3 linked regions of the Canis lupus familiaris genome follow. The protein of the gene in region 1 interacts with the protein of each later gene in a pairwise test. Links are inferred from orthologs where the notes say so. Each region holds a gene or a part of one and is shown on either strand. Other genes may lie near its edges. The genes, in order: GOLGA1, ATF4 and PDCL2.

Region 1 (4,442 bases):
GTTATCAGACTTGAGCCAGAAGTTGGAAGAATTGCAGAGACACTGCTCAGCGCTGGAAGAGCAGAGGTTCTTGCTTGGTCTGTGGGGCCCATGGGAAGCGGTGTTAGTGTAGCCCTAGCTATAGCTTGCCTGCCTTTCCCCACTGCTCTTTGCAGCACTTTCTTTTTCTTTCTTTCTTTTTTTTTTTTTAAGATTTATTTATTTATTTATTATTTATTTATTTATTTATTTATTTATTTATTTATGATAGAGAGAGAGAGAGAGGCAGAGACACAGGAGGAGGGAGAAGCAGGCTTCATGCTGGGAGCCTGATGTGGGACTTCATCCCGGGACTCCAGGATCACGCCCTGGGCCAAAGGCAGGCGCCAAACCGCTAAGCCACCCAGGGATCCCCTTTTTTTTTTTTTTTTTTTTTTTTTTGAAAGATTTTATTTATTTATTCGTAGAGACACAGAGAGAGAGAGGCAGAGACACAGGCCGAGAGAGAAGTGGGCTCCATGCAGGGAGCCCGACATGGGGCTTGATCCCAGGTCTCCAGGATCACGCCCTGGGCCACAGGCAGCGCTAAACTGCTGTGCCACCGGGGCTGCCCTCTTTGCAACACTTTCTGATCTGAGTTCTGGCCCAGGGCTTGGGACCCTCTACTCCCACCACCCAACACCTTCACTCCCCTTCACCTGCCTAATCTCAGCTTCCAAACCTGCCAAGCAATTCAGTATGTTTTTGTTCCTAAGTTATTAAATAACCAAGGCAGATTAGGATTTTTTACTTAAACCTGGGTGGAATTTTTCTTTTTTGGCTTCTACTTCAGAAAGATCCAAGGAGTCTTCTCCATTGATAGTCTTCACATGGCTAACATTTGCAGCCCTGACATATAAAGAACCATCTGTATTTTTTCCTGTAGAAGTGTCTCTTAGATAAGATTTCCAAATGTGCTTATTGTCTACTTTCTTTCAATGAAGAGATCACGTGACAGCTTCAAAAACAGGTGCAGAAAATAAGATCTCGGCCCTGGTGCAAAAGGAGCAAGAGCTCCAGGCATTCATTCAGCAGCTTTCCATGGACTTACAGAAGGTAAGTAGAGTACTAGGAGTAGATCCAGGTGGCTAGAGCTTATGGGGTAGAAACTAAATCTGGCAGAAATTTCTGTCTCAGGGTGGCTACTGAAACTTCTGCTTCTCATGCAATGTGGCCCTAGTTCCTGGTGTAGCCCCGCTACATCCTGATGGAAGTGGCCACACAGCTGAACAGAAGAGGTCAGTATTGTCCCGGCAGGAAGTCTCAAAGTACACCATTTGATCTACTCCAGTTTGTCTTAAGTACTTCATGGTGGACCATGAGCATAAGAAGAACAGTCATGGTTGATATGGCTTAATCTGGTGTATTCCAAATGATAATCCTTACAGTTCAACATACATTTATTGCCTTCCTATTATAGGCCTGTGCTAAGTTTTGAGACTATAAAGAAGAATAAAACATTATTATTGACTAGTGTTTCTCAGTGGCATGTTTCTTCTCACCATTTTGAATAGAACAGTTGTCCCTTGCATTGCAGGACATTTAGCTTTCCTGGCCCCTGGGTTCTTAGTGCCAGTAGCACCCTTCAGGCATTGACAGTCCAGCCCTTCCCATCATGTGAAAAAACACCCCCTGGTGGGTGGTACCACCAACTCTACCCTCTTCCCTTGAGAACTGCTAATCTCAACTGCAACAGAGACTTCCTACATCATTACAGTACAGTTAAGATTTGTGTAAATAGAAATCTATATACTCCTTCCTTCTAGGTATTAGCACACACATAGATGCCCAAATGGAGGTTATATACCTCACTCAGAGTTCAGCAGTGAGTGACAAAGCTGGATTCTAGCCCAGGTCTTACTCCAAAACTCATGCTTGTCCTATTGGACTGTGTTGCCTTCCAATAAGGGTCACCCAGTAAATAGATCTCACATATATGAATGACTCTGATACAAGGTCTCTACTCTCAGTGAAGATCTAGACACACACAGTGTTTTCTCAGAGGCTTATAGTTTCATTATAGAACTCAAACCTAACCACAAGAAAACACATTCTTAACAAATCCTAAATAAGTGAAATAGATTTTGTAATGAAAAATATATGCCATAGGGAGAGAGTGTATTTCTAGCATAGGAGTCAAGGAACTCTTCCTGGAGGAACTGGAATTTCAAAGATGGGTAGAGTAACAGGAGGCGGAGAAAGCAGGACACAGAACACATAGGGTGGGGGAAGATAACATACACAAAATTTGGGGATTCAAGGGACCCTTTGATATCAGAACCATCTAACTTACCATGTCATCATTGGAAAAACTAATTTTCTAGCTTGTGGTTATACTAATACGTTCCCTCACTCATTCTAAAAATATGATCAAAGCCTTCCTATGTGCCAGGCTCAGCACTCTTTGCCCAGTGTTAAAAATACTGTGATGAGCAAAACAGATACTGCCCTTGCCTTTGCGGAACTTCTAATCTAGAGGGAAAATCAGATATCAATCAATAATCATGTAAATATACTATTGCAAACCATGATGCATGAAGGAAAACTGCAGGATGTTGTAGGATCCTGTAATGGCATCAGGTTAGATCTAGCCTTGGAGTCAGAGAACAAAGCCCTTGAAGAAGGAACACTTGAGCTGTGGAGGGGGAGAGACAGTGGGAGAGAATTTGAAGCAAGGAATAATGAACAGTACGAACCATAAACCCAGAAACCTTGAGGCAGTAGAAGGATGAGCACATTCAAGGAACTGGAAGAGAAGACACAGAGAATGGACTGGCATAAGGGGAAACATTGGATGGGGTTCCAGTTAGGAAGTTCTTATACCTGTCTTGGCATCAGATGGTGGCTTTGACAAGAGTGGTGGTAAAGATAAGGGGGAAGTAGACATTTACAAAATAATGAGGAGACTGACCCACTCGCTAATGTAATGGATGTAGGAGGGAAGCAAGAGAAAAGGAAGTTTTGGTGATGGTTTCTGAGTTTCTTGATAGCAACTGAGTGGCTGATAGGGTCGGTCATTGGGTTAAGAATATCAAAGGCTGAACAGTTTTATCATGAAGAACATGAGTTTGGAGTCAGGTTTTTTTTGTTGTTGTTGTCCTTATCGTTATTGAATAAATGTAACATTTATAAATATAAGTAGGGTAGAGAGTATAACAAGGCAGTGATCCCCTTGTAGTTAACCCCAGGATGAAAAGAATAATCTATTTATACTTGAAGTTCCCCATGTGCCATTCACTGTTCATCCCATTCCTTTTTCCTTTATAAGGAATCTAGAAACTGTTGTTTCCTTTTTCTTCACTTTATAATTTTACTGTTATTTTATCTCTAAATAGTATGTATCTTCTGTTGTTTCTCATGCTTGTTAAAAATTATATAAATTATGCTATAGGTATTCTTCTAAAACTTACTTTTTGTGCTCAACATTATATTCCCAAAAAACATGCGTTTGTATACATGCAGCTGTATTTTTTTTTCTTTTCTCAACTATATAGTGTGAAGTAACAAAAGTTATTCATCGTATTGACCATCAACATTGAGGTGTTTCTGGACTTTTACTATTACGAACAAGGCTACTGTGAACATTCCTCTACCCGTGCAGGTTACTCTGGGGTATATTTAAGATGTGGAAAGGTTAGGTGTGCCTGGCTGGCTCAGTTGGTGGAGCATGCAACTCTTGATCTCAGGGTTGTGAGTTTGAGCCCCACATCAGGTGTAGAGACTACCTAAAAATAAAATCTCACCCAAAAAAAAAAAAAAAAAAAAAAGATTTGTACTTTTTCAACTTTTCGGCATAATGCCAAGCATTTTTTTTCCCTAGTAGTTGTAGTAATTCACAGTCCCACCAGCCATGTTTGTTCTGCTTCCTTGACAACATGGGATATTATCAGGCATTTATTTTTTGCCAGTCTAGAGAGTATGAAATACTAACATTTTTTAAAAGATTTTATTTATTCATGAGAGACAGAGAGAAGGCAGAGACATAGGCAGAGGGAGAAGCTAGTAAGGCGATGTACTGTATCATACAGATACCACAGTGGCATATGCCCTTCGCAGGGAGCCCGATGTGGGACTCGATCCTGGAACTCTGGGATCATGCCCTGAGCCCAAGGCAGATGCTCAGCTGCTTAGCCACCTGGGTGTCCCCTTTCAGCATGATTCTAATTTGCTTTTCCCAGATTACTACAAAGTGCTACTGTCCTTTCATGCTTATAGGTCATTATTGTTCTGTGAAGTACTCATTCAATTCTCTAGCCCATTTTTCTGCTACATTTTCTTTTTCTCCTTGATTATAGGATTCTTTATATGTATCCTGGCTGCCATGCTCCCTTGTCAGTTATATGGGTTGCAAATGTCTTCTCCCAGTTTTTGCCTTGTCTTCACACCCTTTATGGTCTCCTCTGATGAAAATATGCTCTTAATTT
Region 2 (4,798 bases), on another chromosome or scaffold:
TATGATTTTCATTCTAAGGATGAGGAGACTCATAATTAGCCTCATTTTACAGATGAGGGAACTGGCTCAGCAAGGATAAACTGCTTAACCAAAATGTCTCAGCTACTAAATAGCAGAGCCAGGATCCTTTGGGGTTTGCTTCTAAAATCTGAGGCCTGACCCATGCCTCCACTGGCAGCTGTGTGGCTTTGGGCCACACACCTCCCATTAGTTCTCAGTTTGACCTTGTAAAGAAATCGTTGGGCTGGCTAGTGAGTGGTCTGTAGTTATCAAGGACAGTGTCCGCCCCCCCCCCCCCCCCCCCAATTTTTGACCTCACAGCCCTCCTACAGTTCTATGGCCCACTAAAACGGAGGCAGAAACTCCAAGGTTTCTGCCCTCCAGGGGCCTGAAGGAGACGGAGGATAGTGGAGACCTTTCCCGGCACTCTTCACAGCTCTCCGGTGGAGAGCAAGTTGCAGGCCTTGACCTGGACCGCCGCTTCCAAACACGAACCTCCAAACCTCCGTGAGTGGGCGTGGGTGCTCAAGATTCTCCCCCCACCAGGTTGCAGAATTGGGAGAGGGACAGATACCAGTTTAACAAAATCTCTTAGGGGAACTGCATCTGTATAAACCAAAAGAAGTTCCCTGTGATAGACTGCATACTTTTAACAGAAACGTTTTGGCAGGCCGGTATGCGAGAGTCACTAACTGGGCTAGATTGTGCACCTTCCCGACCGGACTGGAGAGTTCACGGGAAGGACGCGGCGTTGGCCCCTGACGGTGTGTGGGGAGCGTTTAGAACCCGACTGAGGCCCTCAGTCTCCCCTTTCAGCTACTTCGGTGCTTGCGTGTGATGAAAACGCACCCGAAATTCCACTTCCTTTTGCCTAGTTTCATCTCGGGCCTGAACTTGGGTCTCTAATTCGGAGCTGGACGGAGGGTGGCAGGAAGGGACCACAGGGGCCAGGGCCTGATGTCGCCGTTTGGGACTCCTCGGGCTCCAGAAGCCCGGGGGAGGAGCCAGGGTCGTCTCGGACAGCCTCGCGTACGCCAGGCTCAAGAAGCCACTACAGAGCGGATTCACCGAGACGCGGCCACGGAGGACACAGCCCGGCGGCGGGAACCCCGCTGGCCGCTCCGCCCCTTCCCGCTCGGACCCGGCCTCCCGCTCGGAGCGGCCCGCCCATCCCGGGGTCTGAGCCAATAGGAAACCGAGATATATATGACTCACCATGTCTAACCAATCAGCTCGACGCTCGCTCTCCGCCAGCATCTCGCGCGATAACCAGGCGGCCTCTGACTTCACAATAAAAACCTTCCTTGAGGTGAAAGACTTCTCTCCCCGCCCCCCAGGCTGACGCCGGAAGCGAGGTGTGTCTGAGGAATCCCTCCGCGCTCCCGGCGGCAGAGGGAGGAGAGGCTCTTTGATCTTAGTAGCCTTGCAAAGTAGCGCGCCTTTTTCCTTTCTCGAGACGTTGGAAGTAACAACTCTTCTCTTCACAGCTACGCCGTGGACCTAAAAGTCGCTGGTCGGACACGATAGGGGCGTCGGATCGCGAAGACGGGTGGGTGGGAGGCGCGGGTCACGTGACCGCGGCGGAAGGATGTGCGGTGTGATGCGTCCTCATAGAGGCAAAGTCTATAAAGGACCCTCGATCGGCGCGGCGCGGCCATTTCCCTTCCTCCCGCCTGTAGATGTAGATCCCTGTGGCAAGCGTGCGCCTTCCCTCCTCCAATCCCCCAGGGTCCGCGGCCGCCATGGCGTATTAGAGGCAGCAGTGCCTGCGGCAGCATTGGCCTTTGCAGCGGCGGCAGCAGCACCAGGCTCTGCAGCGGCACCCCCCAGCGGCTTAAGCCATGGCGTAAGTACGGGGCCGCCCGCGCCGTGCTCCCCCGGGTCGGCGAGGGCAGTCGGCCCGCCTGGGCGCGGCCTGCGGCGGGGCGGGGCGGTGCCGCGTAGGGGGAAGCGGCTTTACGAGCGCCCGGGACGCGTGGCCCCTGTTTGGGTGTCCTCGAGACGCCGACGCTTCTGGGTCAGGAGAGTGCGGCCCGGCGGGGAGAAGCGAGCCCTCGGCGGCCCCGGCCCCGGCCGCGGCCCCCGACGGCTTCCCGCCCGGCCCCCCGCGAAACGTGGCAGGGGCCAAGATGGCGGCCGGGCAGGGCGGCGGCGGCGCAGCGTGAGTCACGGGCGGCCGTGGGCGGGGCCGGGCGGCCTGGGCCGTATTTGGACATGAGCCGGGCGCGCCTCCTCCGGCGGCGGGGGGAGGAGCGGCCCGGCCCCGAGGGCGTCCATCTTGGGCGGCCCGACGGGGCCGCGGGGAAGGTGGAAGCCATGGCCCCGGGGCCACGTGTCCCCGAGCCTCTGCTCCCGAGTGGAGTTCCAGTCTGGCCGTCCTGCCCCCGGGAGGAAGGGATGAGCTTCCCGGACCGGCCGATGTCGAAGGGGTTTCGGTTTCTGCTTCCGTTTCAGGCTTTTCACGGCATCCAGCAGCAGCGTTGCTGTAACCGACAAAGACACCTTCGAATTAAGCACATTCCTCGATTCCAGTAAAGTCCCGCGACATGGCCGAGATGAGTTTCCTGAGCAGCGAGGTGTTGGTGGGGGACTTGATGTCCCCCTTCGACCAGTCGGGTTTGGGGGCTGAGGAAAGCCTAGGTCTCTTAGACGACTACCTGGAGGTGGCCAAGCACTTCAAACCTCATGGGTTCTCCAGCGACAAGGCTAAGGCGGGCTCCTCCGAATGGCTGGCTTTGGATGGGTTGGTCAGTGCCTCAGACAACGGCAAGGGTGAGTGGGGGTCGTTGGCCGCCGGGTCTGGTCTCCGGGCTGTTGCTGAAGTGTGCGTCTGACCTCTCGGGTTCCTTCTTGACTCTTTTGCAGAGGATGCCTTCTCCGGGACAGATTGGATGGTGGAGAAAATGGATCTGAAGGAGTTTGATTTTGACACTCTGTTCAGTATAGATGACCTGGAAACCATGCCAGATGAGCTTTTGGCCACGTTGGATGACACGTGTGATCTCTTTGACCCCCTAGTCCAGGAGACTAATAAGGAGCCCCCTCAGATCGTGAACCCAATTGGCCATCTCCCAGAAAGTTTACCAAAAACAGACCAGATTGCCCCCTTTACCTTTCTGCAACCACTTCCACTCTCCCCAGGGGCCCTGTCCTCCACTCCAGATCATTCTTTTAGTTTAGAGCTAGGCAGTGAAGTGGATATCTCTGAAGGAGATAGAAAGTCAGATTCTACTGCTTACATTACCGTGATCCCTCAGTGCATAAAGGAGGAAGATGCCCCCTCAGATAATGACAGTGGCATCTGTATGAGTCCTGAGTCCTATCTTGGGTCCCCCCAGCATAGCCCCTCTACCTCCAGGGGCTCTCCAAATAGGAGCCTGCTGTCTCCAGGTTCCCTCTGTGGTTCTGCCCGCCCCAAACCCTATGACCCTCCTGGAGAGAAGACCGCAAAAGTAAAGGTTGAGAAACTAGATAAGAAACTGAAAAAAATGGAGCAGAACAAGACAGCAGCCACTAGGTACCGCCAGAAGAAGAGGGCAGAGCAGGAAGCCCTCACTGGTGAGTGTAAAGAACTGGAAAAGAAGAACGAGGCTCTGAAGGAGAGGGCAGATTCTTTAGCTAAGGAGATCCAGTATCTGAAAGATTTGATAGAGGAGGTCAGAAAGGCCAGGGAGAAGAAAAGGGTCCCCTAGTTGGGGGTGTCAGGAATGTGTGCTTGTACATAGGCTTGCGCTGAAGCTGTGTTGTAATAAATTATTTTGTAGTGAAAGTACTTGAGCTCGTGTGTACCTGGTTTCTTGTCTTAATCTCTACCCTGGTGATGGTGACCAAGTCAAGTGGAGTTGGCTCAATCCTGTTGGGCTCAGGGCCTCCACAGGAGACTCTGGGGGTGAGGCTGTGGCCTCATAAGCCATAACACTGACTAGTCTTGAGTACCCAGGTAAGGCCCCACCTGGGCATACAAGGTTAAATTCCACTTTGAACTCAAGTTCTGTAAACTCAATCCTGGAACTGCAAAGAAAAGGTCTTTGGGTTTTTCTTGGAATGGACTGTTAAAGGAGTTTTAAAGAGATGCAGAAATTCTTAGCCAGTGCTGGGCTCAAAGGCTGGCAATCTGACCAGAGGAATCCTTGCTGCAATTGGTGTGCAGGGCTAGCTCTCCAGGAAGAGCCAGTCTTGACGTTCATTGGAATGGCGATGGGGACACCCAGTGTGGCACCAGGTAGTGTGAGCTTTTTATGTGCTTTCTCCTGGTCCCTGGGGTAACCCTGTGGGGCATTTCCTCTGGGGAAAGTAGGTATGTGAAGGAACCTATGGCTCTTCACCCATTTGGCCCCTCGAAGAGCTTGGAAAACAAGGCATGTGAGGGTCTGTCTGCAAGGTGGGCCTGTGTTTCCCTGATCTGCTTCCCAATGCCCAGCATAGTAAGTGGGAGAGCCAGCCCCCTGTTGGGATGCAAGCAGCGGTGACCCTGATGGGAACATTGCTCTGGGGTGCTGGAGGGGGTGGACGTCTTCCCTTAAGATTGTAGGATTCCTCACAAGGCCAAGAGCCTCCCACATCTTACCGGGGTCTACCAATCGGTATTAAAATATCACAAGATACTCTGCCTTTAAGCTGAACAGTTAACCAGCCAAATATGGGGATTTACTGGTTAGAAAAACAGCATCCCGGTAGCCGGAGTGGCTCAGCAGTTTAGCACCTGCCTTCAGCCAGGGAGTGATCCTGGAGACTTGGGATCGAGTCCCATGTCGGGCTCCCTGCATGGAGCCTGCTTCTCCCTCTGCCTGTGTTTCTG
Region 3 (3,962 bases), on another chromosome or scaffold:
ACTCTAGATTTGTAGCAGGTTGTAGTTATCAAAATAAATGGCATTCTATATTTTGAAATGTAAGTTAAACGTATAATGCATTTAATTAGTTTTTCTTAGTTTCTTCCACCATAAATTGATATATAACATCATCTAGTATTAAGAGGATTTCTGAAGATTTTGTAGATGGTGGAGATACAAAGCCATCACTATAGCAGAGAGAGACCCTTTCTGCTATAGATTAAACATAACAATACAGTCTTTTAGGTGCTAGAGTTGAATTTTATATAGTCCTGAAGAAGGGGTAGTCCGTTTTATCCTTGGAGGAAGGAAGTCTGGAACTTTCTACAGAGTATGTAATTCCTGGTCTTGGCCTCAAAAAATAAGATTCCCCAAAGAGGAAGTAGACAGGATGAGGTGGGATGTGTTAGAGTGTACAGCTTAAAGAAAGATTACAGAAATAAGACAGCATCTTGCTTTAAGTAATGTGGTAGCAGACAAAGAGACCACAGAGAACCTTGAAAGCTACACAGAGGAGCCCAGACTTTATCCCAAAGACTGTGAAAAGCCACTTAGGGAGGGACTTTAAGCTTGAGAGCAGGGCAGTTGTTACATGGTGAGATTTTCATGCTGAGCTCCCTTTGTCAGCAAGGGTCAAGGATGAATTTGGGAAACTAAGACTGGAAACAGGTCATTTAGGACAATCTGATGGAGCTCAGTTGAGAAAGGAAAGGAGTAAGATAATGGAGAAAAAGAGGAGAGGTTAGTTAGGTATGAGATAAGGAAGTAGGAGCAACATGATTTGATTACCGATTAGATGTAGAGAAAAGGGAGATTTCTGGCCTCTGTGCCAAACTAAGAAAATACAGAAGAAATGTATAATATATACATATATACTTTTTTTTCTTTAAGGGAGGTGGGGACATGAAGTTCATCAGTGTTTTTTGTTTTGTTTTGTTTTGTTTTTTTAGTTCATCAGTGTTTATATCAGAATGGATAAGATGGCACAGTGAAATGTGTCCAGTATAAGAGAGTCCAGGACACAATCACAAAGAACATCCACATTTGAGTCATAGACAGAAGAAGGAAGTCAAAGAAGTAAAAAGGAAATTAATAGAAAGTGTTATCACAGCAGCTCTTCTTGCCCACGGGTCCTATCCCCGTGCTTTAATAAAACCACCTTTTTTTTTTTTTTTCCCCTGGGGAAAAAAGTGTTATCACAAAAGCCAATAAAAGGGAAAACCTTTCAAGAAAGGAAGTGAACAGAACATAGAGATTATTATTTTCCTTTCTTTTGGGGCTATGAACAAGAGAGAGTGGTTATTTGAAGGAGACATAGAGTTGTAAGTAACTCTTAAAAATTTAGTAACTTAAGTATATTTATAGAAAGTGGAGGAAACAAGAGGGAGAGCAAAATAACAAGCAGAGAAAGGTCCCATGGGAAATGTGTATGGGATAAAGTAAAGGATTGGCTCTGAAACAGTTTGATAAGACTGTGAATGAGTGAGAGAGAAAAGGGACTAATTGAAGAGTGGGTATATTGGGAGTCAAATGATAGCAGGAAGAATTGCAGGTTCTGGTCACACTTCCAATCAATTTTTAAAAAATTTATTAATCTCTCTACCCAACATGAGGTTTGAATTCATGATCCCAAGATCAAGAGTTGCATGTTCTTCCAACTGAGCCAACCAGGTGCCCCTTAAAGATCTGATAGCGAATAGTTCTAGATAATGGGAAATAGGATGCTTCATGGAGTGGGATGTCAAAGAAAAGTGTGGATGAGGTCAAGAAATTCAAGGAAATTTTAGATTAAAAAAAAGAAAGAAATTTGAGATAAGACACTTTGGATGTCATAATCTCATGTAAAAATAAGCCCAAGGTGGTGAAAAGAGTTGGAATCCTTTGTTTCAACTCAGAACTACTAAGGATTCCCTAGAAGTGTCCTGTCTTGTTTTGTTTTCCCTTAGTCCTGTAAACTAGGAACTAACTTGATTAAATTGATGCTAAGTCAGATGTGGTTAGCCTTAGTTATGCATCAAATTCCCATGGTAGCAAGCTTCACTCCCAGGCTATAATTGTGTTTACAATAAATATGGTAGGGCTCTGCAGTTTATCATTACTAAAAGTAAAAAGAGAAGATAAGAGTTTATATGCTGTTATATTAAAAGAATATCCAAAGAGGTGAACCTGGGTGGCTTAGTAGGTTAAGTACTGACTCTTGGTTTCTACCCAGGTCTTGGTCTCATGGGTCCTGGGATAGGGCTCTGTGCTCAGCTGGGAGTTGGCTTGAAGATGCTCTTTCTCTGCCCCTCCCCCTACTTAGCCCCCCCATTAATTAATTAAAAAAAGAATATCTAAAGATGTATTTTTGTCATGTAGATATTTCACTTAGTTCATTAGAGAGAAGTAGTGTGTTTTTAAAGATGTTGTGTACTGTTTCTCTTTTTAGCATCCCAATGTGTTTGTTGGTTAACCAGCATCTTAGTCTCCTAGCAAGAAAGTTTCCGGAAACTAAGTTTGTTAAAGCCATCGTGAACAGCTGTATTCAACACTACCATGACAATTGTCTACCAACAATTTTTGTTTATAAAAACGGTCAGATAGAAGGCAAATTCATTGGAATTATAGAATGTGGAGGGATAAATCTCAAGCTAGAAGGTAATAATACTATTTTAAAAATGTTTATTAAACAGGTGAAAACTTCCAAAAATTTACAAATATCGTGAAAGTTTATCTCCATAAAACATAAGGTATTTTCCCTCCCTTCTAATCTCTTCTTGTAGGCCTCCCGATTAATTTTCCTATAGTAATATGCTTCTTACAACATCTACTTGCTTAAATCCTTAAAGGTTCCTTGTGGTCAAATAAGTTAAAAATACAGAATCTTCTGCTTAAGAATTTCAGCCTACCGATCCAACTGTATTACTGCAGAGACATCTTACTCATTTGTGCCTTTATTCTTGGTCTCATACTCATGCCCTGGACCCTAAATACCCTACCATTCTTTATTGTTCCTCCATATCCTGTTCCTTTGTGGTTCTCCTAGGTTTCCATTTCTCTAATTACGTGACTTTGGACCAATTCATAATCTTCCTCTTCTCTCCTAAATTTCTGTAGCATATTTTCTCTATAAAATTTATTTTTCACTTATCCACATACTATCTGATTTTATCAGTTAATTAATTCCCTTTATTTTCTTTTTCACAGTATGTAGCACAGCACTTTATAATTTTAATTTCTTTAGTAATTTTTATTTCCTGACCTCCTTCCAAGGCCATATCTAGTCATTTCTTGGAACTGCTTTAATCTATATTATTAAAATCTTTTTCTCACACCATGTTAAAGCCATTGAGCCTCATCCTTTTAATTAAACAAATTAATACGCAAGAGTACAAATAATAATATAGCAAACATTTATGTAATCGATTACTGTCGAAAATAACAAATGTGAACATTTCTTCATGTTTGCTTGAGCTATTTGTTTGTTGTTCAAATAAACATTACAGATATAGTTAAAGTTACCTATATTTTCTTCCTAGTCCCATTCCCCTTCCTATCTCTCAGCAGGCAATCATGATCATGAATATTGTGTTATCTGGTCCATGTTTTTTGTGGGTTTTTTGGGTATTTTTGGTATAAACAATTTTTTAAATTGTTGTAAAATACACATAACATGAAATTTACCATCTTAATCATTTAAAAATATATAATACAGTATTATTAACCATAGTTAACATGCTGTACATTACATACTCAGGACTTATTTGGCCATTTTTAAGTATACAGTTCAGCAGCATTAAGTAAATTCACACTGTTGTGCAGCCATCATCACTATCCATCTCTAGAACTCTTTCATCTTACATAACTGCACTCTATATCTACTGAACAATAGCTCCCTATTCCCTTCTCCTCCTCCGGTCTTGGTAACTACCATTCTACTTTCTGACTCCATGAATTGACTACTTTCAATATCTCATATGAAT

The links.
Region 2: the proteins of GOLGA1 (region 1) and ATF4 interact in binary tests that used the Homo sapiens proteins (3 or more experiments, as listed by UniProt). The two-hybrid records come from large-scale screens. The link is inferred for Canis lupus familiaris from reciprocal best matches to the Homo sapiens genes GOLGA1 and ATF4.
Region 3: the proteins of GOLGA1 (region 1) and PDCL2 interact in a two-hybrid assay, tested with the Homo sapiens proteins (2 studies listed by BioGRID). The two-hybrid records come from large-scale screens. The link is inferred for Canis lupus familiaris from reciprocal best matches to the Homo sapiens genes GOLGA1 and PDCL2.

The regions. Positions count from the first base shown.
Region 1 is NC_049230.1:58,190,899-58,195,340, forward strand, and holds part of GOLGA1 (golgin subfamily A member 1), read left to right. Parts: coding exon 1-66; intron 67-962; coding exon 963-1,074; intron 1,075-4,442. UniProt on the Homo sapiens protein: Involved in vesicular trafficking at the Golgi apparatus level. Involved in endosome-to-Golgi trafficking. Mechanistically, captures transport vesicles arriving from endosomes via the protein TBC1D23.
Region 2 is NC_049231.1:26,489,202-26,493,999, reverse strand, and holds ATF4 (cyclic AMP-dependent transcription factor ATF-4), read left to right. Parts: upstream 1-1,632; 5' UTR 1,633-1,846; intron 1,847-2,454; 5' UTR 2,455-2,546; coding exon 2,547-2,772; intron 2,773-2,865; coding exon 2,866-3,692; 3' UTR 3,693-3,777; downstream 3,778-4,798. UniProt on the Homo sapiens protein: Transcription factor that binds the cAMP response element (CRE) (consensus: 5'-GTGACGT[AC][AG]-3') and displays two biological functions, as regulator of metabolic and redox processes under normal cellular conditions, and as master transcription factor during integrated stress response (ISR).
Region 3 is NC_049234.1:48,597,206-48,601,167, reverse strand, and holds part of PDCL2 (phosducin-like protein 2), read left to right. Parts: intron 1-2,428; coding exon 2,429-2,637; intron 2,638-3,962. UniProt on the Homo sapiens protein: Essential for male fertility, spermiogenesis and acrosome formation.